Linked DNA regions of Caenorhabditis elegans. The protein of the gene in region 3 purifies or fractionates together with the protein of the main gene of each other region. This does not show direct contact. Each region holds a gene or a part of one and is shown on either strand. Other genes may lie near its edges. The genes, in order: Y53G8AR.6, hel-1, thoc-2 and xpb-1.

The links.
Region 1: the proteins of thoc-2 (region 3) and Y53G8AR.6 fractionate together in Caenorhabditis elegans (co-fractionation; one large-scale study listed by BioGRID). This does not show direct contact.
Region 2: the proteins of thoc-2 (region 3) and hel-1 fractionate together in Caenorhabditis elegans (co-fractionation; one large-scale study listed by BioGRID). This does not show direct contact.
Region 4: the proteins of thoc-2 (region 3) and xpb-1 fractionate together in Caenorhabditis elegans (co-fractionation; one large-scale study listed by BioGRID). This does not show direct contact.

The regions. Positions count from the first base shown.
Region 1 is NC_003281.10:3,292,876-3,297,791, reverse strand, and holds Y53G8AR.6 (SAP domain-containing protein), read right to left. Parts: upstream 3,050-4,916; 5' UTR 3,041-3,049; coding exon 2,909-3,040; intron 2,787-2,908; coding exon 2,461-2,786; intron 1,506-2,460; coding exon 1,202-1,505; 3' UTR 544-1,201; downstream 1-543. Other genes in the region: Y53G8AR.5 (RING-type domain-containing protein), read right to left, coding at 167-334; Y53G8AR.8 (ATP synthase subunit s-like protein), read left to right, coding at 3,463-3,661, 3,731-3,896, 3,985-4,108.
Region 2 is NC_003280.10:8,326,352-8,330,502, forward strand, and holds hel-1 (Spliceosome RNA helicase DDX39B homolog), read right to left. Parts: upstream 2,520-4,151; 5' UTR 2,519-2,519; coding exon 2,192-2,518; intron 2,149-2,191; coding exon 1,872-2,148; intron 1,826-1,871; coding exon 1,707-1,825; exon of another isoform or gene 1,582-1,706; intron 1,536-1,581; exon of another isoform or gene 1,345-1,535; coding exon 810-1,344; intron 764-809; coding exon 744-763; 3' UTR 501-743; downstream 1-500. Other genes in the region: C26D10.3 (Pyridine nucleotide-disulfide oxidoreductase domain-containing protein 1), read left to right, coding at 1-41, 89-298, 347-481, 2,941-3,005, 3,053-3,239; C26D10.4 (GHMP kinase N-terminal domain-containing protein), read left to right, coding at 3,417-3,480, 3,527-3,726.
Region 3 is NC_003281.10:6,366,007-6,374,051, reverse strand, and holds thoc-2 (THO complex subunit 2), read right to left. Parts: upstream 6,011-8,045; 5' UTR 6,007-6,010; coding exon 5,911-6,006; intron 5,863-5,910; coding exon 5,731-5,862; intron 5,530-5,730; coding exon 5,438-5,529; intron 5,392-5,437; coding exon 5,172-5,391; intron 4,952-5,171; coding exon 4,769-4,951; intron 4,719-4,768; coding exon 4,566-4,718; intron 4,518-4,565; coding exon 4,013-4,517; intron 3,785-4,012; coding exon 3,383-3,784; intron 3,070-3,382; coding exon 2,250-3,069; intron 2,202-2,249; coding exon 2,093-2,201; intron 2,051-2,092; coding exon 1,912-2,050; intron 1,864-1,911; coding exon 1,004-1,863; intron 949-1,003; coding exon 568-948; intron 502-567; coding exon 280-501; 3' UTR 148-279; downstream 1-147. Other genes in the region: C56G2.15 (N-acetyltransferase domain-containing protein), read left to right, coding at 6,230-6,304, 6,397-6,536, 6,721-6,958, 7,159-7,359.
Region 4 is NC_003281.10:11,524,878-11,529,659, forward strand, and holds the start of xpb-1 (General transcription and DNA repair factor IIH helicase/translocase subunit XPB), read left to right. Parts: upstream 1-1,779; 5' UTR 1,780-1,804; coding exon 1,805-1,907; intron 1,908-1,961; coding exon 1,962-2,062; intron 2,063-2,415; coding exon 2,416-2,526; intron 2,527-3,411; coding exon 3,412-4,341; intron 4,342-4,782. Other genes in the region: Y66D12A.16 (Spen family transcriptional repressor), read left to right, coding at 1,418-1,584.

The DNA.
Region 1 (4,916 bases), 3.1 Mb from region 3:
TTTCACCAGAAACTTCACTTTTAGGGGTACGGTAGCCGCGAAAATACGCAAACACCAGATCTCACGACAAAATGCAGAAAATCCCGAAAAAACGGGTTTTCGGGGTGAAAAATGACGGGGAATTTGAATTTTTCACCCGAAAACACTAAAAAACTCCAATTTTTACCCCTTCAGAGACGGTCATTTCAATTAAAACCGATGCAGACGTGGATTCATCTTCCAATGATTTAATTTTATGCTTTAAATATCGCCGAGAAGCTTCTAATTTGGACTCCACGTGGACTCCATCCCAAATACTGCATAGGGCTTCAATTTCACCGTCTGCAGACTCCATTTTGGCTGAAAATTTGGGGAAAAGAGTCGAGTTTTTCACTAAAAATTTGATTTTTTGTGAAAAATTCAAAAATTTTCGTGGTTTTTCAGTGAAAATTCTCAATTTTTTCAAATTTTCGTTCTAAAAATTCAGCTTAAAATCCAAAATTTCAGGTATGTGATCGATCACACAACAAAAAACTCAAAACTCTAAAAATTACACAAAAAAGCTGTAATTATACTGGAAATCCAGATTTTTCATGGAGAAATTGGGAAAAAACAAAAAGTTAGAGGGAAAATAAGAATAAAACAACAAGTTTTGGGTTAAAAAATTGAAAAAATAAATAAAAAATATAATTTTTTTCGGGGAAAAACACACGAAAATCGAGGAAAATGGGAAATTTTTTAGGGAAAAAAGTGATTTTTTCATAAATTTTCACGAAAATTAGGGAAAAGTGATTTTTTTCAAGGAAAACTCGAGAAAATAATCAAATTTCGTTAAAATTTAATTTTTTTTTCGGCAAAAAATCTAAAATTTTGACGGAAAAATCGCAAAATTTAGCCAGAGTCGAAATTTTCTAGAAAAATCACAAATTCGAGAGGAAAACGATTTTTTTTCGATAAAAATCTAAAATTTTGGGGGAAAATTTAAATTTTTCAGTGAAAGTTGCAAAATCTCAGCAATTTTCATATATTTTAATGAAATTTTGAATTTCTTGGGGTACTTTGGTCAAAAATGTTAATTTTTACAGAATTTTTCAGTTTTTTCAGCAAAAAATTGGGTTTCAGCTCATTTTTCGCCAAAAAATTCAAAAATTTAGCTCAAAAATCTCATTTTTTCTCAATTTTCCCAAAAAAAAAAAGTAAAAAATGCACAAAAATCAGAAAATTAATTAGATGTTCCAAATCGTTCCATTCTTGCTTTTTTCTTTGCTTCCATCTCCTCATCATCAATTTCACCACCGAATCGTTTGGCTCGAGCAGCCAATTTTGCAGCTTTTCCCTCAGAATTTGGAGCATTTTTCGAAGCTGAAGCTGAAGCTGCTCCACCAACTGGAATTCCAAAACGGGCGGCACGGGCGGCCAGCTTATCATCAGCGGCAGGCGTTTTTGGGGTAATTCCGAATCTTTCAGCACGTGAAGCCTTCGCGTCATTTGATGTTAGTCGTTTTGAGTCTTCTGGGAGATCAAATCTGCAAAAAATTTGGGTTTTGGAGGAGTTTTAAGGTGAAAATTGGGATTTTTTTTGGGATTTTTGGCAATTTTTGGGTCAGAAAGTTAGAAATTTAGGTGTTTTTAAGTGAAAAACGGGGTTTTTGGAGAGTTTTTAGGTGAAAATTGGGATTTTTTTTTGGGATTTTTGGCAATTTTTGGGTCAGAAAGTTAGAAATTTAGGTGTTTTTAAGTGAAAAACGGGGGTTCTGGAGAGTTTTTAGGTGAAAATTGAGATTTTTTGGCATTTTTTGTATTACAGAGTCAGAAATTTAGGCTTTTTAAGTGAAAAATTGCATTTCAGGTTGGAAAATTTGTAATTTAAGGCATTTTTGATAGAAAATTTTTTTGGACTTTTTGATGGTTTTTAAGCGAAAAAATGAGATTTTTCGACTTTTTTGTGGTGAAAATCGGATTTTTCTGGCATTTTTTATACAGGAAATCAGGATTTTTGGTGTTTTTAAGGTGAAAATTGAGATTTTTTGGCATTTTTCAGTGAAAAATGAAGATTTTTAGTGCTTTTTAAGTAAAACTCGGGATTTTTGGCATTTTTTTTTCTTTTTTTTTTCATTTTTACAGTGAAAAATTAGGATTTTTCACGTTTGTTGTAGTTAAAATTGGAGTTTTTGGCATTTTTATCAGTGGGAAATTCAAAAATCTCAAAATTCTAAAAATTTTAGTGTAAATATGGCTGGAAATTGCGTTTTAGAGGTTTTTTGGGAGAAAAATTTGTAAAAATGCGAATTTACAAGTTTTTGAGTGAAAAAAAAGGATTTTACAGCAAATTTTCGTGCGAAAAACTTTAAAAATATAATTTTTAGTGAGAATTGAGGGCAAAAATCCCATTTTTCCAGTTTTTAAGCTGAACACGTCAGATTTTCCACAAAATGCATCGTTTTTCAGCATTTTTAAGCCAAAAATTGATAGATTTTCAACCTCTTAGCCCTGGCAGCCTTAGCTCCATCCGAGCCGAGGTCTTCAGCAGTGACGGGGAGCCCAAATCGTATGGCACGGGCTCTTTTATCAGTTTCTGCAGTAACTTCATCGATTTTCTTATCAATTAAATGAACTTCATGCTTCTCTTCTCCCTCGGATTTATCTGTTTTGTGCTCTTCTGCTCCGTCAACTGATCCCAGAAGCTTATCAGCTTCAGATTCGTCTCCAACACTCGGAGCATCGAGAATATCATCATTTAGAATATCATCTGATAATAAATGAGTGTCAGATGTGATTCCAGCGTCGCCCAGAAGCTCGTCGGCTGCCTGGAAAATTAAAAAATTTAAATTAAAAAAAGAAAAAATTTTTTTTTTTGCTTTTTTTCCAAAAAATTTGGATTTTTCGCTATTTTTTCATCAAAATTCCCAAATTTTCCTTCTTTTCCAACCTGCTCAATGCTTTCTGTGAGCCTTGCCAACAGCTCCGGCTTGTTTCCGGTGTTATCGAGCCCACGGCTGGCGAGTTCCTCCTTCAGACGTGGAACTGTCAATTTCTTGGCATCGGCGACGCTAAGAACCATTTTTTATCTGCAATTTGAACAATTTTAAATAAGAAAACGCGGGAAAAATTGGGAGAATCCCGCGAAAAAATCAATAGCGTAGGCTTTACAGGTTTTTAGACGGTTTCTAGCGGATTTTTAGCTGAAAATCAACATTTTTAACCCAAAAAATGCAATTTTCATTCATTTTTCAACAGAAAAACCAAAAAAATCGCACGAAAACAAGCGAAATCATTAATTTTTGTTTAATAAATTTAAAATAAAGATTTGCAATGTCTGCGTCTCTCTCCTTTACACACTCTCTCCACCGGTCCCATCGAGACCCACAGCCCATTTAATCCTATGCGCCTTTAAAAATAATTCTTTTTTTTTCATTTTTGCTCAAATTTGCTCAAAATAATCAGTTTTCCACGGATTTTCTCGAAATTTTCGACATTTTCAGCATGAACCGGGTCTATTGCACCGCGCGAAGCTTCAGAACAAGTGTAAAATCGAACGGATGGGTACATAAATGGTCGAGATTCAAGCGGTGGCAGGAAATGCAGGCGGCACATGTGGAAAATGTGCAGGAAAAGCAGAGGAATAAGAATTTTATTCGATTACCGACGGGACTGTATATTACACCGGAAAGACCCGATGATTGTGGGTTGTTAATTGGGAAAAAAATCGATTTTTACTGAAAATTACCGGAAAAAATTGGTTTTTTTCCAGTAAATCCCAAAAAAGCGCCAGCAGACATGACACGGAAGGATACTGGACAGTTGCCGATGGAGCTGCTGACGTGGCACACACAAATGCGCTACGTAGATCATTCAATCGATAATATTAAACGATATCGGAGATATAAAAAGTTTCAGCATATGCAATATGATCAGAGGCGATTTTTTATTGATTTTTATTGATTTTTCAAGAAAAATACCCTAAAAAATGCTATTTAAAACCTTGAAAACCCCATTTTTTTGCAGAGTAATCCCCGAAAGACTACTTTTCCTCGGGCCCGACCTGGCGGCGGCTCATTTTCTGGTACACAGAGGTGCGGCGGTGAAGTTTGTCGGCGATGATAATTGGTATAAGAAGGATAAGTGGAATGTGAGCTAAAAAAAAGAAAACTAAGAGGAAATTGCGAAAAAATTGGGTTTTCCCCGAAAAAATACTAAAAAACTCGGTTTCTCTGCGGGTTTTCACTTTTTTCTTGGGTTTCTAGACAATTTCCACCCTAAAATTCAAATTCCCCGTCATTTTTCACCCCGAAAACCCGTTTTTTCGGGATTTTCTGCATTTTGTCGTGAGATCTGGTGTTTGCGTATTTTCGCGGCTACCGTACTCCTACAAGTGAATTTTCTGGTGAAATTGTCAGTTTTTGGGAGATTCCTGTTTAAAATTCAGATTTCCCGTCGTTTTTCACCCCCCAAAAGCTAGTTTTTCTCATTTTTCCGCAGTTTGTCGTCAGATCTGGTGTGTTGCGGTGTTTGCGTACTTTTGGAGCTACAGTACCCCCGGACATTCCAATTTTGCGCTAAAACTTCAGAAAAAAGCTTTCAGGTGTAGAAATTGGCAGGAAATTCGATTTTCGAATCATTTTTCAGAAAAATTAATCGGAAAAAGGATTATTTCTCTTTTTTTTTCAAAATTTTGTTATTTTTCTCCATTTTTAAAGTTTTTTGCACAATTTTGAGTGGAAAATCGAGTTTCTCGTCATTTTGCACCCCAAAAAACGTGATTTTCCCAATTTTCTGCATTTTGTCGTCAGATCTGGTGTTTGCGTACTTTTGGAGCTACAGTACCCCCGGAAATTCCAATTTTACGCTATAACTTCAGAAAAAAAGCGTTTAGGGCTAAAATTAGGCGGGGAATTCGATTTTGTTAGTTTTTCGAAAATGCACATTTTAAATGCTAA
Region 2 (4,151 bases), on a different chromosome or scaffold from region 3:
CCCAAAATTTGTCGGTACATTACATGGATAAAGAAAAGATGGTATCATTTTAAGTTATCGTACCATTAAGCCTAGTTATTTTATTAAGGCAGATAACCAGCTCAATCCAGATATTTTTATTTGGGCAGGAGGTGTAACTGCCAACTCAGAAGTCTGGGCTATGAATAAAATGCTCCAAATCACTGAAAATAGTGGAATTAAAGTCAACGACGCTTGCGAAACCTCACTTCCTAATGTTTTTGCATGTGGAGATGTTTGTGCACTGACTACCACAGAACCATCAACTCTTTGGCAACAAGTTTTATAACCATAGATTGAGTGTTAAATAAAGTTGAAATATTTTAAGAGACAATTGTGGACACAAGCACGTCAGCAAGGAGAAGTGTGTGGAAGAGCGATGGTGGCAGGCGTCGAAGAGGCTCGTATGCAGAATATGTATTTCGAACTGTTCTCGCATTGTACGACTTTTTTCGGGTTAAAGGTGAGATAAATAACAATTTGCATGGTAATTGTCGAATTTTATTTCCAAACACTCATGAAAAAAGAAAAATAAATAATACAGTCAAATTTTTTTGCGTGTAGTTGGAAACTGTTAACGATAACGAAAATTGGTAAATGAGACCACAAGAAACAGAGGTCGATAATTTAGGGGAAACAATAGGCATTTTACTCCATCAGCACAATGCCGGGTAAAACGAAGGTGGAACTCATATTTAGTTGAATGCATAGGAGGGTACATGGAATCAATTGGTTCGGCCTTCGACTGAAAATAAGAATTTTTGAATGGGCGTTGGTATATATAAACTCACTGTAGGTAGAGACATCGATCTTTTCTGGGAGCTCAGTGATGCTGATATCGAAGCGGTCTTGAACGCTGTTCAAGGTCTTGGCGTCATTCTCATCAGAAACGAAAGTGATGGCCAAACCCTTGGTTCCAAAACGACCAGCACGTGCAACTCTGTGAAGATACGAGTCGGAATCTTCTGGCATGTCGTAGTTGAACACGATGTTGACTCTTTCGATATCCATTCCACGTCCAAACAAATCGGTGGCCACCAAGATTCTCTTTTGGAAGTCTTTGAATGCTTGGTATCTTGAAAGTCGCTCTTCTTGAGCCATTTGACGATGAATGGCAATTGATGGGAAATTTTGTTCTGTGAGGAGCTGGTGGAGAGCTTCGCAACGTTTTACGGCCTTGACGAAAATGACGACTTGGTTGAACTCGAGTGCATCGAGAAGATTCAGCAAACGACGGTTCTTCTCGGCTTCCTTCAGTTTGACGTAATGTTGCTGAAGTCCGTGCAGAGTGAGCTTGGCTTCGTCGTCGACGTAGACTTCCATTGGCTGAAAAAATGTTTTAAGGTCTAGAACGGCAGCACGGTGATGAATCGGGGGCTGGAACGTGTTTTGCAGTACATGTCACGTGTTCCCGACAAGTCTTTCGACCTATTAGCAATCAGCTTCGCTGAGGCGAGCCAGCTACCTCCCCCGAGGACGATGGCTTCTGCGTGGCGAGAGGCTTAACAAGATGAGATCTGAAATCCGAGAAATCAAAAAGCGACTTCGGAATTAACGACCAACCAAGTTCTGGCCATCTCTTTCGCATCACGGAACACACATGACTAGCATTTTGGTTTGATACATGTTTTTTGTTTCAAAAAAGTGAACAGCGGTTCCGTAGGTTCCGGATCAGAGATAAAGCGTACGTCTTGCATGAATCGCTTGCAAACAGTGCGAAGCTCCTTTGGCAATGTGGCGGAGAACATCATCACTTGCTTCTGTTGTGGAGTCATCTTGACGATTTCTTGAACATCCCGACGCATATCTGAAAAAGTTCAATAATGATTCCTATATTTACAAGTATTTCTTACCAGCATCTCCGATCATCTTGTCGCACTCGTCCAGGACGAAGTACTTGACTTTGTCAAGCTTCAGCTTGCCAGAACGAGCCAGAGCCAACATTCTTCCTGGAGTTCCAACAACAATGTGTGGACAGTCATTGGCAAGGCGTTCCTCATCTTTCTTGATGGCCATTCCACCGAAAAAGACAGCTACCTTGACTCCTGGGAGATATTTGCTAAATCTCTCATACTCCTTGGAAATTTGGAATGCCAACTCGCGAGTGTGGCACATGCAAACAACAGATACCTGAAAACAATGATTTATTGAAATTTGATGTATTACTGTTTACCTCGCCATCCACTGGCTCCAGTTGTTGAAGAGTGGTGATTACAAAAACAGCGGTTTTACCCATACCGGACTTCGCTTGGCAGACAACGTCCATTCCAAGAATGGCTTGAGGAATGCACTCATGTTGTACTTCCGATGGATGTTCGAAACCGCAGTCTCCGATGGCACGAAGAATTTCTGGCTTCAAGAGGAAGTCACGAAATCCGGAAGAATGAATAGAAGCATACGTTCCTTTAGTTTTTCTGGCATCGCCTCCGCCAACTTCTGGCTGCTTGTCTTGGATCTCCTCCTGCTCCTCTTCGTAGTCAAGAAGTTGTTCCTCTTCCATTCTGAAACAAAAAAAAATAAAGGTCTTCATAAAAAGGGGCTTGAGATTAATCCTAATTTCACGAAGAAAATAGAGAATAGTGTTTAACCTATTAGAGAAAGTCACAAATAGAACAATCAAAAGAAATTTAGTAAATAACCTCACAAAAACAGATCAAAACAGGAAAATGCAGAGCGGTTGCTCCTCATGAAGAATAAACCGCGAAACGATACCCATTCGAATATTTTCGACGCGCGACGCACACGCAACGCGTCGCTTCGTATGGTCTCGCAGCGAAGTAATTAGCAATGGGCGGGTGTTCAAATACGAGAGGGGGAATGTGGCTGTAAACAGCTGTCCAGTGCACAAGACAATATTAGTAGCGAAACGATCCGAAAGATAGATGTGTGCAAAGAATCATAGAAAAACAAATGTTCTTTCAGGTGGTGTTTCTTGGAGACTACAAACCAGAGAGACAGGTGGAAGGAGAATGGAAGATTGTATTGAGGTACTGTACACTTTTTAGATTACAATGAAACATGCTCTAATATTCAGAGACGCCGATAACGATCAACTCGTTCGATGTGTAGTCGTCAAAAATAAGATTGTCGGTGCCCTTCTAATTGGCGAAACTGACATGGAGGAGACACTCGAAAATCTGATTCTCAACAAAACAGATCTAGAAGGCATTTCAGAAACATTCTTGGAGCCGGGAGTTGATCTCGATGATTATTTTGATTAGATTATTATTATACTGTATGATGTTTATACATTTTGTTGTGTTTGAATAATATTAAACCAGTTTTCTACTATCTTTTTCACATCTATACATTTTCTGCGTCTCCATCTCTTTACCACGTGGAATACACCAGTGCTAGTCGTATTCTCCTTGCTCTCTTACACTCTTTTTCTCTATCAAATGCGTTGGGACATTGTCACATTTTCATTAGGGTTCAATATAGAGCCAAGTAGTATTGATTCAGGTTCAATTTTCATACGATATAAACTACAGACACACTCGTATTATAGATATACGACATTTCCAAAATATCGCCTTTCCGAATTGCGAAGAAATACTTGTAGTAAATGATGCATCAGAAGATATAGGATCTTGTGGAAGTGCATTGAATGCATTAATAAGAACTGCTGAAAGGCTATGCTACAGGAATAATTTGACAGTACTCACAGAATCCGTCTTGCAAGACGTGAACGTGTTAATTGTTTTGGTGGTGAGTACTTTTTATTATTTCGATAAAATAGTAGAATAAAAATTATAATTAATTTCTTGGACATTGAGAAATAGCTGTAATTATAATTGTACAATGAAATAGGCATAAATACATTTTTTGTCTCAAGTTTCAATATTTACGGTGGCGTGTAGTAAAACATCTTAAAACGTGTTGAAATTTTCCATTTTTAGTCAAAAAGTGATGATAATAGAGTTTTCGCCATTCACAATTTTGGATGCCGACCAAAAAATAATAATTTCTACGAGCTTAATATTTATTGCGTTTCAACTGTATGTTTTAAACATGTTTTAGAACACTTCTGGGTTAAAACCTGCATCAATGCTCAAGATTATTCAAAAAGCCAATACATTTGAAAATTTGGGAATTTGTCAAAACGTTGTCTGAAAAAACTTTTTTAGAATGTT
Region 3 (8,045 bases):
CCATAGATTGGAAGTCGTTCGGAAATTTGACGTTGTCTTTTGCTCACATTTAGCACTTGATCTTCGACTTTTGGATTGACTCTTCGAGCAAGCATTCTATATTCGAAATACTTCCATTGCTTTCACATTCCAAGAAGTTCAACGATCCAATGTCTTTAGATTTAATGCTAACAAAAAATAAAACGAATATTTAATAATCCATCAGGATACAATAGAAAACCTCGTAGACAACATAAACTGAGATACAATAATGAAAATCTGGGGATATGTGGTGAGAGCTCATCTAAATGTTCGATGCCCACGATCTCTTCCACTCTTTCCAGCATCACGTGCAGGCTCTGCTATTCTTGATGCCTTTGGAAGTTCTTCTTTTTTTTCTTTTCGATCATCTTTGCGATCTTTTCGAGAGGACGATGTTGATTTTGAAGGCTCCTCTAGATCAAACTCAATCGCTTTTCGAGAGCCTTTCTTGTCATCTTTCTTGGGAACTGGGTCGGGAAGCTGAAATAAATCACATTTTCGAAAGGAAAATTTTGAAAATAGCTTGAGAAAACGTTAATATCTTACCGCGGGTCCTGCCACTTCAAGCTTCTCATCGGACGGCTTGCTTTTTTGCTTCTGATCTTTGAGAATCTTTTGTTCTTTCTGGTTTTCTCCATTTTCTCGCTTCCTTTCCTTATCCTTTTCTCGTTCCTTATTATCCTTCTCCAACCGTTTCTCTTTTCCTGTTTCTTTGTCTTTCGATCGTTCTCTTCTTTTCTTACCTTCTCCTTTTTCAGATTCTGTGTCCTTCGGAGATTCTTTCTCATCTTTCTTTGAAGGTTCATCAGACCGTTTTAAGCGATCAACAATTCGAGTCTTCTTTGCAGGAGGGGGACTTGGAGTCTTCACTTCACCATCTTCAGTTGTTGGCTCTTTCTTTGATTCTTTTGATCCGTGGGATGATTTCTAAAATTATAATAGTTAGTTCAGTTCTGTGAATTTTAATAATTTATGTACTCACTCCAGGTCGCTTCTTTCTCTCTTTGTTATCTACTGTAGCTTTCTTCTCTGTTTCACTTCCATTCTGATGTACTTCATCATCTTTCACCACTTTCTCCGAACTCGTCGTCCCATTTTTCTTCGAATCTACTTTAATCTTCTTATCAACTGGTTCCCCATCAGCTTTATCTTTCTCATCTACCACTTTTTCTTTTTTCTTTGGTTTTTCAGCACCGACCGACACCTTCTTGTTGGGAACTGGGGCGTAATCCGAATTTTGAGCATAAATCTTCACAGTTCTCATCTTGAGCTTTCCAACATACGAGGCTGCTTTTAATGATAGATCGTCACGTTTTCCCTTCTCTCGATCCTTCAACTTGGTTACAGCTGTTTCCATTGTGGCGACTGCATGTGATATGACTGGAAATCCAGATGTCAACTTTGTCATCATAATCAATGAATTTCTGATAAGTACATAGTCAGCATCATCTTTTGTGAAGACTGTCTTAAACATGGCAGTAAATCGAATTTGCCATCTATAGCATAACTTTCGGAAAGTTTGATATTCAATTGCTTGTTTTGTGATCATTCCTGGAAATCCTGCACATTCCTTCTCGAAAACTTCTTTCTCCGAGTGCCATCTTTGAACAGTGCAGAGCAGAATTTCAAAGAAGCATGCCAGCGAGTTGGCTTCGTTCTCGGTGAGCCCCGCGATCAGAGGAATTATGTTCTCGAAGAGTCTGTCAATGATCAGAACCGATGGGAAGAATGGAGTCCGCATTTCGTGAAGCATCATGAAGAATTGACCACAGAACACTGCATCAAGTTCGGAGAATATGGCACGTGGCAGGAGGCATTGTTGAATGAGAGCTTCCAATACAGCTGGAAATATTGGAAAAGTATTAAAGCGGATTTCATGCATAAACTTACAATTATGGAATTGCTCATCAATCAACGAGTCTTTCTTGTTCAGAAGCCATACTTTACAACGTTCCACGTGCTCAATTTGCCTCTTCTGCTCTTCTCGAAGCTTACTCTCCAACTGTTTATCAGTTTTCTTAGCTTTTCCCTGAAATAAAAAATAGTAGATTATTTATAGATGAAAACTAACATGACTGTCTTCTCTTGACTGTTTCTTTAAAGCATCAAGTGTCCGTTCATATGCAGCTGTCGGAACTTCGATATCATACATTGTCAGCATCCAGAAAACAGCGAAGAATCTGAAAGAAAAATTTAGCAAACTGGGCGAAAATTTGATAAAAACTCACTTCACAGGTATATTCTCCTCCATGCCAGGTTCAGATGCTTTCAGCTCATCCATTAACATTTCCACTTGTGATTCCAACGCACTTGTAAACATTTCAGTCTTTTGCTGTGTATCCAAACGAGTCTTTTGTCCATCTTCAACAGCAGCTTTCGAGATTTTTTTAGCCGCATCATAGTGATCTGATATTCTTGAGAAGAAAATAGGTCTCGCCAGACACATTGTGGCTTCCATTCCAAGTGAATAATCAGATAACAATTCACGAACAGTTGGAACTCGTTTCGAAAAATCATCATTTTTCAGATAAACACTCAAAAATGAAACGAGTTGTTGAAATGTGTCACTACACTGATCAACCATTTTTCCAACAAGTTTCAATGGAAGAGTAGAGCTTTCATTGTAGACAATATGCTCTTTTTGTTGAGCAACTGAAATTGCCAATCCAACAGCCAAATCTCCTTTCAGAAGTGCATCACGTAGACGTTGAGCAGCTTTTCTATTCTTTGTTGCCGTTGAATATCCACCAGCTTCCTGTTTCAACAAGTCTCCACCTCCAAGTGCTTCAATTTGTTCTTTCGTTGCTCCACTGATACTCTCGATCCATGACATATTCTGGATAATTTCTCGAAGAAGAAGCATATCGTAACTTTTGCAAAGTTTCAATTGATTTAGCACATAGTCTAGCATTCCGTTCAGTTCGAGTGGATATCTTCGATAGAGAGATCCAACCAGTGTTCCAAGAGCTTGCAGCCAAGGAGAGATGGTAGCATCAGTGGATTTGAGAGCTTGTTTCGATGGATCAGCCAATTGGGAGATGATGCAATCTGGAATAAATGGAAAACCTTCAAATGAGAAATATTTAAAATAGATTTGAAAAAGTTTGACTTGTTTACAAGTGAATGAAAAAAACGAGAATTTTTTCACATAGCTAACTGAAAGACTCAAAAATTTAAAATGTATCAATTTTTCCATAAAATTTTTTTATGAATTTATATGTTAAAATCTTAAAATTTCTCAAAAAAAAACGTTCGAAATTTACAAAACCTTTCAGTTTTCGTGGTTTTAACAAAATAATTTTTTGGACGTTTTTTCTCGTTTTCTAAAAAAAATTGTTTTAAATTTTGTTTGAAAACTTACAAGTGAGAACATCAAATTCAAGACTTGTCAAATATCTCAAACTATCCACAACAGGTCCAATGAAATTATCAAAAGTTTGCACTTGACTGAGGAGATATGAGAGTACTGTAGATGGATGTATATGACACAATTTTCCCAATTGTCTGCCCATCATCTTTACAGTTTCCTTCGAAAGACGCTTCAGAACATATTTTGTTCGTCCATGAATTTTCCCCTTCATTATATGCATTTCTGGATGTCTTGAAGTTTCAAGATTCCATTTTGAATACATCCAATATCTCCAAGAATACGGGAAAAGCTCAAGGAGCTGCCAAATCTCTTCACTAAGTGCAACATTTGTTTCGGACAGTGTGAGAGATGGTAGAAGACATTCGGAGACGACTTCCACGAAATTTTGATTTACTGAAATAATGATATTTAATTTTGAAAATGGTTGTTTTTTTTTCTTCAAAAATACGGTGCTCGATCTCGAAGTGACAGATTTACATAAATTTTAAAAAAGTACAAAAGTACAAGGAGTTCTGTAGATACGAACTAATTTTTCCTAGTTTTTATCGTTTTTTCAAAATGTTTTGTTAACCTTAATATCGGGGCGAAAATCGCAAAATTTCACATTTGAAAAAAACCTACGTTTATCATCCTTCGGTAGCAGATCCTTGTCAACTTTTCGGTAGTAGGCAGTCAAAAGTCGAACAATTTTGATATTTGTTGAAGCACGAAAGGCTATTCTAGGTCCCAAATAGGCAAGTACACTTGACAATTTTCCAAGATCTTCCCAACTTTCGATTGGTCTTAATCCATTTCCCATATCATCTAACACTGGTTTCGTCGATTTTATCAAATCTCCAAACAAGTTCAGCGAACAATTTTTCTTGTAAAAATCGTTAATTGATTTCTCAATTATTTTGCAAAGAGCTCTACAGAGTCGTGGACTAGCTTGAACTGCATAGTATTCTGGGAGACGATCAATGAGCATTTGAGCTTGTTTCCAGTTTCCACTTTCTAATAATGCACACGTTAAACCAAGCTTCTGATTTGATGAGAGAACATATTCCTCATTAAACCCTTCAGATAATTTTATATCCTCGTCTTCTTGAAGTTGGATTACTGTAGTGAAGGAAATCGTTTGCGTTGTCTGAAATGTTTTTAAAAATTAGATAAATATTCAATTTTCCGACCTAACCGCATTTCCACCTATTCCATTTTCATCGAAACCTCTTGAATCCATAATTGGCATTGAAGCTGTAGAAATTGTTTCTGCTTTTGATGCTCTTTCTTGTGCATTCTGCATTCTTGAACGGTGCCCTTCTTTAATTGCTTCGGCTTTTGGAATCATCTATAAATATTAATTAATAATTTCGAATAATTTAAAACGGGACTCCTCACATATCCTAAAATCTTCATCATATCGATCATTTCATGTTGAATGAGCGAAGCTGTCAGAACGTACAACGAATATGGCGTTTTCTTCTTTTTATCCGATTGATAGAATGTGAATTTGAAGCCCAGAAGTGCACACAGATAGTCACGGACCACGTCAATTTCTTTGAGAAGTGCAATGAAAAGGAGCTGAAATTAAAAATAAATATTTTTAAAATACAAATGAGCTGGATTCGTTTCAAGATTTCTTAATCTCATCATTTGAATTTCCAATTGTTTTATTTGTAAAGGATAAACGGAAAAGTTATAAATTCCAATTTTTCTCTATTGTTGAACTTTCAAATAAGCTCCGCCCACATCATGGTTGACCACCAAAACATCATGAATTTATGCAGATTCTTTATTTTACCTTCTGCCTCGGGAAATTCTCGAAAACTTCCAATATAACGTCAGTGACACGATTTGGATCCAAATTGAACTGTCCAATTAATGAAAGTACTCGATGCTTCAGAATCTTCGCATGTTCATTCTCATTCGCTGAGCTCTCGGCTGCTTCCATAAGCTCTGTGACAAGTTTTGAGTAACCTTCAGACTCTTCTCGAAATAAGTTGAATTTGGCCTGTTTGAAACTGAAGAAAAATGAGTTTTTGCAGAAATTGAATGAATTTAACTTACTAGACTTTTGTTTTCAACCTAATTAGTGCCTTGCTGTGATCATCTTTTTTGAAACAATCCAGCTCGAGGCGGAGGATTTCTTCGGGGATTATCTGAAAAAAATTTGGTATTTTTACAGGAAATTTCCAGTTAAAATCTCATTTCTTTGTTAAACAATTTTGGATTAAGTTAGAATATTAGTTTTTTTCAATCCTGAAACTACAGGTTAATTTTATTTTCCGCCAATAATACTATCTTCCATATAAATAAGCCTTTTTTGAACCTTGAGCTTTAAAAGTTGAAAGTTTTATTACCGTGTTAGTGAGTAGATTCACAAAGGATTCAAAATTCTCTTTGGAAGTGCTCGCGTTGTCAGCGAACTCGCTCTCCGGCTCGGTGAGCACTAACACGTCGATCAGCTCCGAACTGATGGCATCTCGATCTTTCTGAAATTAATGATTTCTAATTTGTTCAAGATTTTAAATGAACGAAACCTTCTCTGTGAGTATCCTTTCATAAGCCTTCATCGGTGTGATTTTCATGTGAACAATATCGAGACATAACTGGGTTAATGTTTCGAAATCGTTCATTTCTCTGTAATTATAATAATTCAATCAGAAACTAAAAAAAGAACATTAAAAGGAAATATGAGATTTCAAAAATTAAACTTTTTAAAGCGAGTTGGCACTTTGCCAGCCGAGGCAAACAAGAGTGAGAACGCGTGGACGGGAAATCTAGAGTTGAGATTTCTAGGCCATCGAGTGTGATGAGGGCATCTGAGCTCAGAAACATAACCAATTATCGGGTATTAGGATGCCGGACTTATTTTTTGTTACGCTTTATGATAGGCAGGATCTTTTGAAGGAGAGTATGACATTTTTGAATTCGGTGAGTTGTATTCTAGAGTGGTTTTCTAAATGTATTTTTTCTTTGGTAAAATAAATAGCTATATTCATAATTTTGAACTTTTCTAATTCCAGGAATGGCCCAGAAGCGATGGATCTCGTGAGCATTCACAGAAAAAATCATGCCGTCAGTCCCCTCCAATGTCGTTTTTGTTGCTCAATAAGGAGAATGACGAGATACTAGGCCACTCAAGAATCACACATCTTCCAAATCGGTGAGTAATTGGAATAAAACAATAAAAATTTGAAACTTTCGGATTATATTTCAACAATTAGAAAATTTGATAACTCACTAAAATTTCAGGAAAAAATATTTAAAAAGTTAAAAAATTTTAGCCTGAAAATAAAGGAAGCTATCATAATTCTCAAACCATTCTCCCAAAATTTGTTAATTTTCAGTGACCATGCCTTATGGATTGAGTCAGTGATGATCAAGAAGGATCAACGTGGCCTTGGACTCGGGAAATTCTTAATGAAATCCACAGAAAAATGGATGACGGAAAAAGGTTTCAATGAAGCATATCTCTCAACTGATGATCAATGTCGATTTTATGAATCTCTTGGTTATGAGAAATGCGATCCGATTGTACACTCGACAACAGCCACTTGCATCTTTCCAGCCATGAATCATTTTCAGGTAAATAGGCTTTTGAAGTTTTCAGAAATACTAAAAAATCATGTTTCTTGAAAATTCACAAAACTATACTCAGATCAATCTGATTTAGTTCGGAAATTTTGGAGATCCATCTTCAGATTCAGTCTAGAAAAATTGAATTCCTTAGTAGAAAATGCACAATTATTCAGATTTTTCTATAATTTATATCATGTTAATTTCAGAACGCGGCCGCATCCAACCCGTCCTTCCTATCAAAGATCGCACAGCCTTCAGCCTCGTCAACAGTCTCAGCTTCTGCTCCACCACCACCACCACCGCCTCCGATGGCTCCAAAAATGGTCACCAGATCCACGTCCCCGATTGTGGACGTCAACACGATTGATCACCAGTACATGAGAAAATGGTTAAAACCAACTGAATAATATATTGAGAAAAGAATACGCAAATATGAAATAAGAATTTCTACTTTTTATTGATTTTCCGCATAATGTAAAGTAATTTTAAGAATTACAAGAATAAAATAATTGAATGAGAGGGCGTGGGTGTGTTTTCTTAAAAACAACAACGAGTGAAGGGGGAATTACAGAAAAAAAGAAATAAAAAATGGGATAGAGATGGGGGTGATAGGTGGAGATGAGGGGATATGAAAGGTAGAAGAACCTGGTAAAATGGTCTGACGGGGCTCAAAGGGAAATGGGGCTCAAAACCAAAAAAGAATAAAAAGAAATTACCTAAATGAGAGAAGAAAGGCTACTAGACGATCTGTGTTTGTTGTGGGGAGAGGAGGCATGGGAGATAGTGGATAAAAACGATGATGAAGCTAACAAAAATAAAAACGAGTTGATAGAAAAAATAATGGGTCGCCTATTGCGAAAACGGTTCAGATTGGGAAAACAACAGTAGGTACAAAACAGCCATTCTGTGCATGTATACAAGGAATCATTCTGTGAATGTATTTTGAGATATAAAAAATGAGACGAGGATGAAAAACGAGCACGGAGAGACAGAAGAAAACAAGAATAAACGCGCAAAGCGACGGCACATTTTGTGAACTACCCTAGAAAGATATCTATAACGATTAAAGGCATGAAAAAAGCAGCCAACTATA
Region 4 (4,782 bases), 5.2 Mb from region 3:
TGCGGCACCTCACGAACTCCAAAATTCGCGGGAATTCGTTTCGCGGGGACAGCAGTTTTTGGCTGTTTTTGGCTTCTATAGGAAATTATTTTTGATTTTTTGTTTTATAATATTCTTGAGAAGCATCATCCGAATTTAAAATGTGTGAAATTATGAAATTTGACCGAAAACTGAAGGTTTTACAGGAAGGATTCGCTACGGCTTTCTTTAAAATGTATCAGAATCGTCAGTTTTTCGATTTCAGTCGTAAAATATGCCATTTTGTAGAGAAAAGTCTGTTTCACAAAAATCCATGTTTGACATTTCAAAATTGTTTTTATTTAAAACCTGAAAAATCGAAAAAATAAGCTTTTAAAGGTGGAGTAGCGCCAGTGGGGAAATTGCTTTAAAACACGCATATGGTACCACAATGACCGAATATCATGATAAAAATTTTTTCTAGATTTTATATGATTTTTTGAAAATTGAAAAAATCTCAGTTTTGCCTAATTCCTATTTGAATTACCGCCAATTGGATTTGTTCGATGGAGCGCGCTTGCACGTTTTTATTTTTATTTATTGTTATTTTTTCTTATTTTTCACCGACTTTTCATGTTTTCAGTGTATTTTTGTCTGAAATTTGAAGAAAAAGTCAAAATAAATGCTATTTTTTGAAATTAATTAATTCGGGTTCGAAATCGCTTAAATGCATTTTTTTAATTTAACGCCTGTAAGCGTGCTGTTTAATCGAAAATTAGCATTTATTTTGACTTTTTCTTCAAATTTCAGACAAAAATACACTGAAAACATGAAAAGTCGGTGAAAAATAAGAAAAAATAACAATAAATAAAAATAAAAACGTGCAAGCGCGCTCCATCGAACAAATCCAATTGGCGGTAATTCAAATAGGAATTAGGCAAAACTGAGATTTTTTCAATTTTCAAAAAATCATATAAAATCTAGAAAAAATTTTTATCATGATATTCGGTCATTGTGGTACCATATGCGTGTTTTAAAGCAATTTCCCCACTGGCGCTACTCCACCTTTAAAAGCTTATTTTTTCGATTTTTCAGGTTTTAAATAAAAACAATTTTGAAATGTCAAACATGGATTTTTGTGAAACAGACTTTTCTCTACAAAATGGCATATTTTACGACTGAAATCGAAAAACTGACGATTCTGATACATTTTAAAGAAAGCCGTAGCGAATCCTTCCTGTAAAACCTTCAGTTTTCGGTCAAATTTCATAATTTCACACATTTTAAATTCGGATGATGCTTCTCAAGAATATTATAAAACAAAAAAATAAAAATAATTTCCTATAGAAGCCAAAAACTGCTGTCCCCGCGAAACGAGTTCCCGCGAATTCTGGAGTTCGTGAGGTGCCGCGAGAGATCGCGTTCTAATAATTATGAACAATTTTTTTGTTAATTTCAGCCATTTCAGCCGTCGAAACAGTCCACGAAACTATAAAAATCGAGTCTCGCCGCACCGTGGCCTGCGAAGGAAATGTCTATTTCGAAGAAACGAACGTCATTCAATTTCCCAAAAATCTGCCGCCCAACGTACACGTGATCACCGCCGCCCAATATGGATCGAATTAAATGTTTATTTATAAATATTCGTTTTTTTTTTTGTTTTTTGTTTTATTATGAAAGTCTAGTGAAAAGAACTAGCTGTTTTATAAATTTATATGTCTCCCCTCTGGCTCCTCTCCTGTGTCTGCATATTGTCGTGAATTTCGCTGTATTTGCGTACTTTTTCTCCCCCGGTTTTCTTCCTTTTTTTTCGTATTTTAGACGAATTTTCAATTTTCCAAAAGAAATGGCGACGAAAGAGCGAAAACGACGCGGAAAATGGGATACCTACAAAGCAGAAGAAGCTCCATCATTGTATTCTGGAAATGCTGACAAGGAAACTAGTTCTGGTAACGCGGGGCTCTTTTCCTGGAAATTTTCGAATTAAAAAATTAAATTTTTAGTTCCAAAAGCTGCCTCGCACAATTTGAACGGAGAAAATGCGTCGTCAGTGATGACTGATGAGTTTGGAGCCAAAGATTATCGAAAGGATATGCCATTGAAAGTATGGAGAAGCTCTAAAAATTCGAAAAAATGGTCTGACAAGCTTGAAAAACCCAGAAAAATGGCAATTTTTACAATTTTTTGGCAAAAAAACCCTAATTTTCATGATTTTTTCACCCAATTTTCAGTAAATTAACGATTTTTCCCCCGAAATATCGAAAATTTGGTTAATTTCCAGGGAAAATCGTAAAAATTACTTTATTCTAAAATAATTTCGGTCTGAAAAATGTAAAAAGTTACGAATTTTTGCTATTTTTTTTTGTTTTTTTCGGTCAAAAAATCGTTAAAAAACACTTTTTTTCGAGTTTTTCAACCCAAATTGGCAAATTTTAATTGAAAATTCACAATTTTCAGGGTGATTTCACTGCAAGACCGCTGTGGGTTGCTCCGGATGGTCATATTTTCCTCGAGTCGTTCAGCCCGGTTTACAAGCACGCCAGGGACTTTTTAATTGCAATTTCAGAGGTTATTAACGTCTTTTTTCAGTTAATTCTGAAAAAAATTCATTTAAAAAAATTTGATTCATCTGAAAAGATTTATTTGTAAAAATTATGTTTGGCCAATTTTTTTTTGATTTTTTAATTTTTTTTTCCGTAAAAAATTCCAAATTAGTGCTTTTCAGGTCAATTTTAGAGGTTCAGCACTTTTTTTTCATGGAAAATGACTGAAAATTTGAGCCTAAAATTAACAAATATTAAATTTTTCCAAAAAAAAAAAATCGAAATTCTGATTTTTCAATTTTTCGATTATCTCTTACACATATTGCCAGAATTGAAAATTTCCGACAAATCGTCAAAGTGTCGGGATTTAAATTTTCCGGCAAATCGGCAACTTGCCGGAATTGAAAATTTCCGGCAAATCGGCAAATTGCCGGTATTGAAAGTTTCCGGCAAATCTGCAAATTGCCAGAATTGAAAGTTTCCGGCAAATCGACAAATTGCCGGAGTTTAAAATTCCGGCAAATCGGCAAATTGCCGGATTTGAAATTTTCCGGCAAATCTGCAAATTGCCAGAATTGAAAGTTTCCGGCAAATCGACAAATTGGTGGAATTGAAATTTTCCGGCAAATCTGCAAATTGGTGGAATTGAAATTTTTTGGCAAATCGGCAAATTGCCGGAATTGAAAGTTTCCGGCAAATTGACAAATTGCCGGAGTTTAAAATTCCGGCAAATCGGCAAATTGCCGGAATTGAACGTGTCTTGTAAATAGCTGATTTGCCGAATTTGACATTTCCGGCAAATCGTCAAAGTGCCGGATTTAAAAAGTCCGGCAAATTGCAGAATTTATCGAGAAAAAAATTTGCCGAACTGCAATCGCCACCCATCCCTGCTACATATTCCAATTTTCAGCCCGTCTGCCGTCCACAACACATCCACGAATACCAGCTAACTGCCTATTCTCTCTACGCAGCTGTATCAGTTGGCCTACAAACAAAAGATATCATTGAATACCTGGAACGATTAAGTAAAAGTCAACTGCCAAAAGGAGTCATCACATTCGTTCAAATGTGCACTGTGAGCTACGGAAAGGTTAAGCTTGTGCTCAAGCATAACAGATACTTTGTCGAATCGCGACATTCCGATGTTATGCAGAAGCTTCTCAAGGACTCTGTGATCCAGTCGTGTATTCTAGATGATCGTGTGCAACCTGCTCAGCAAACCGAGCTTCCTGCACAGGAAAAAATCAAATTCTCACATGGAAATGAGAATGAGAAGGGTGTGGAAAAGGATGGAGCAGCAGCAGACGGTACGGCGGCGGCGGCGACAGATGGAAAAGTTCCAGCTGATATTGATGAATTCTACGGGAAAATCGATGGAGATGATGAGGAAGACGCAGAGATTCGAAATTTGCAACTTCTAACGTTTGAGATCAAACAAGAAACGATCGAAACAGTGCAAAAACGATGTATCGAGCTTGAGTATCCACTGCTCGCCGAGTACGACTTCAGAAATGACACTTTGAATCCGAACCTTGGAATTGATCTGAAACCATCGACTACACTTCGTCCGTACCAGGAGAAATCCCTACGGAAAATGTTTGGAAATAGTCGTGCGAGAAGTGGTGTGATTGTTCTGCCGTGTGGAGCCGGAAAGACGCTTGTCGGAGTGACTGCTGTGACGACGGTTAACAAGAGATGTTTAGTGTTGGCGAATTCCAATGTTTCTGTCGAACAGTGGAGGGCTCAGTTTAAGCTTTGGAGCACGATTCAGGATAAACAGCTTGTCAGGTTTACTAGAGAGGCGAAGGATCCAGCACCGTCGGGAGCCGATGCGACCAAGGTTGGAGTGGAAGGAGTGGAAAAATAATGAAGAATTTTAGAGGAAAATCTGAAAAAAATTGAAAAATTTTCGACTTTTAGATTTTCTGAAAAATCGAAAAATTAACCATAAAAAATAATTGATGAGAAAAAAATTAAAATTTTTTCAAAAAATGAAGAAAATTTCGAGCTAATTTTTGAAAAATCGAGAATTTTCGATTTTTCGATTTTTGAATAATCGGGAATTTTCGATTTTCAATTTTTTGAAAAATCGGGAATTTTCGATTTTTCAATTTTTTGAAAAATCGAGAATTTTCTATTTTTCGATTTTTTGAATAATCGGGAATTTTCGATTTTTCAATTTTTTGAAAAATCGAGAATTTTCGATTTTTCGATTTCAATTTTTTGAAAAATCGAAAAACCGACACCCTTGGTCAGAGTGCCTCATTTCGGTTTGGTCTAC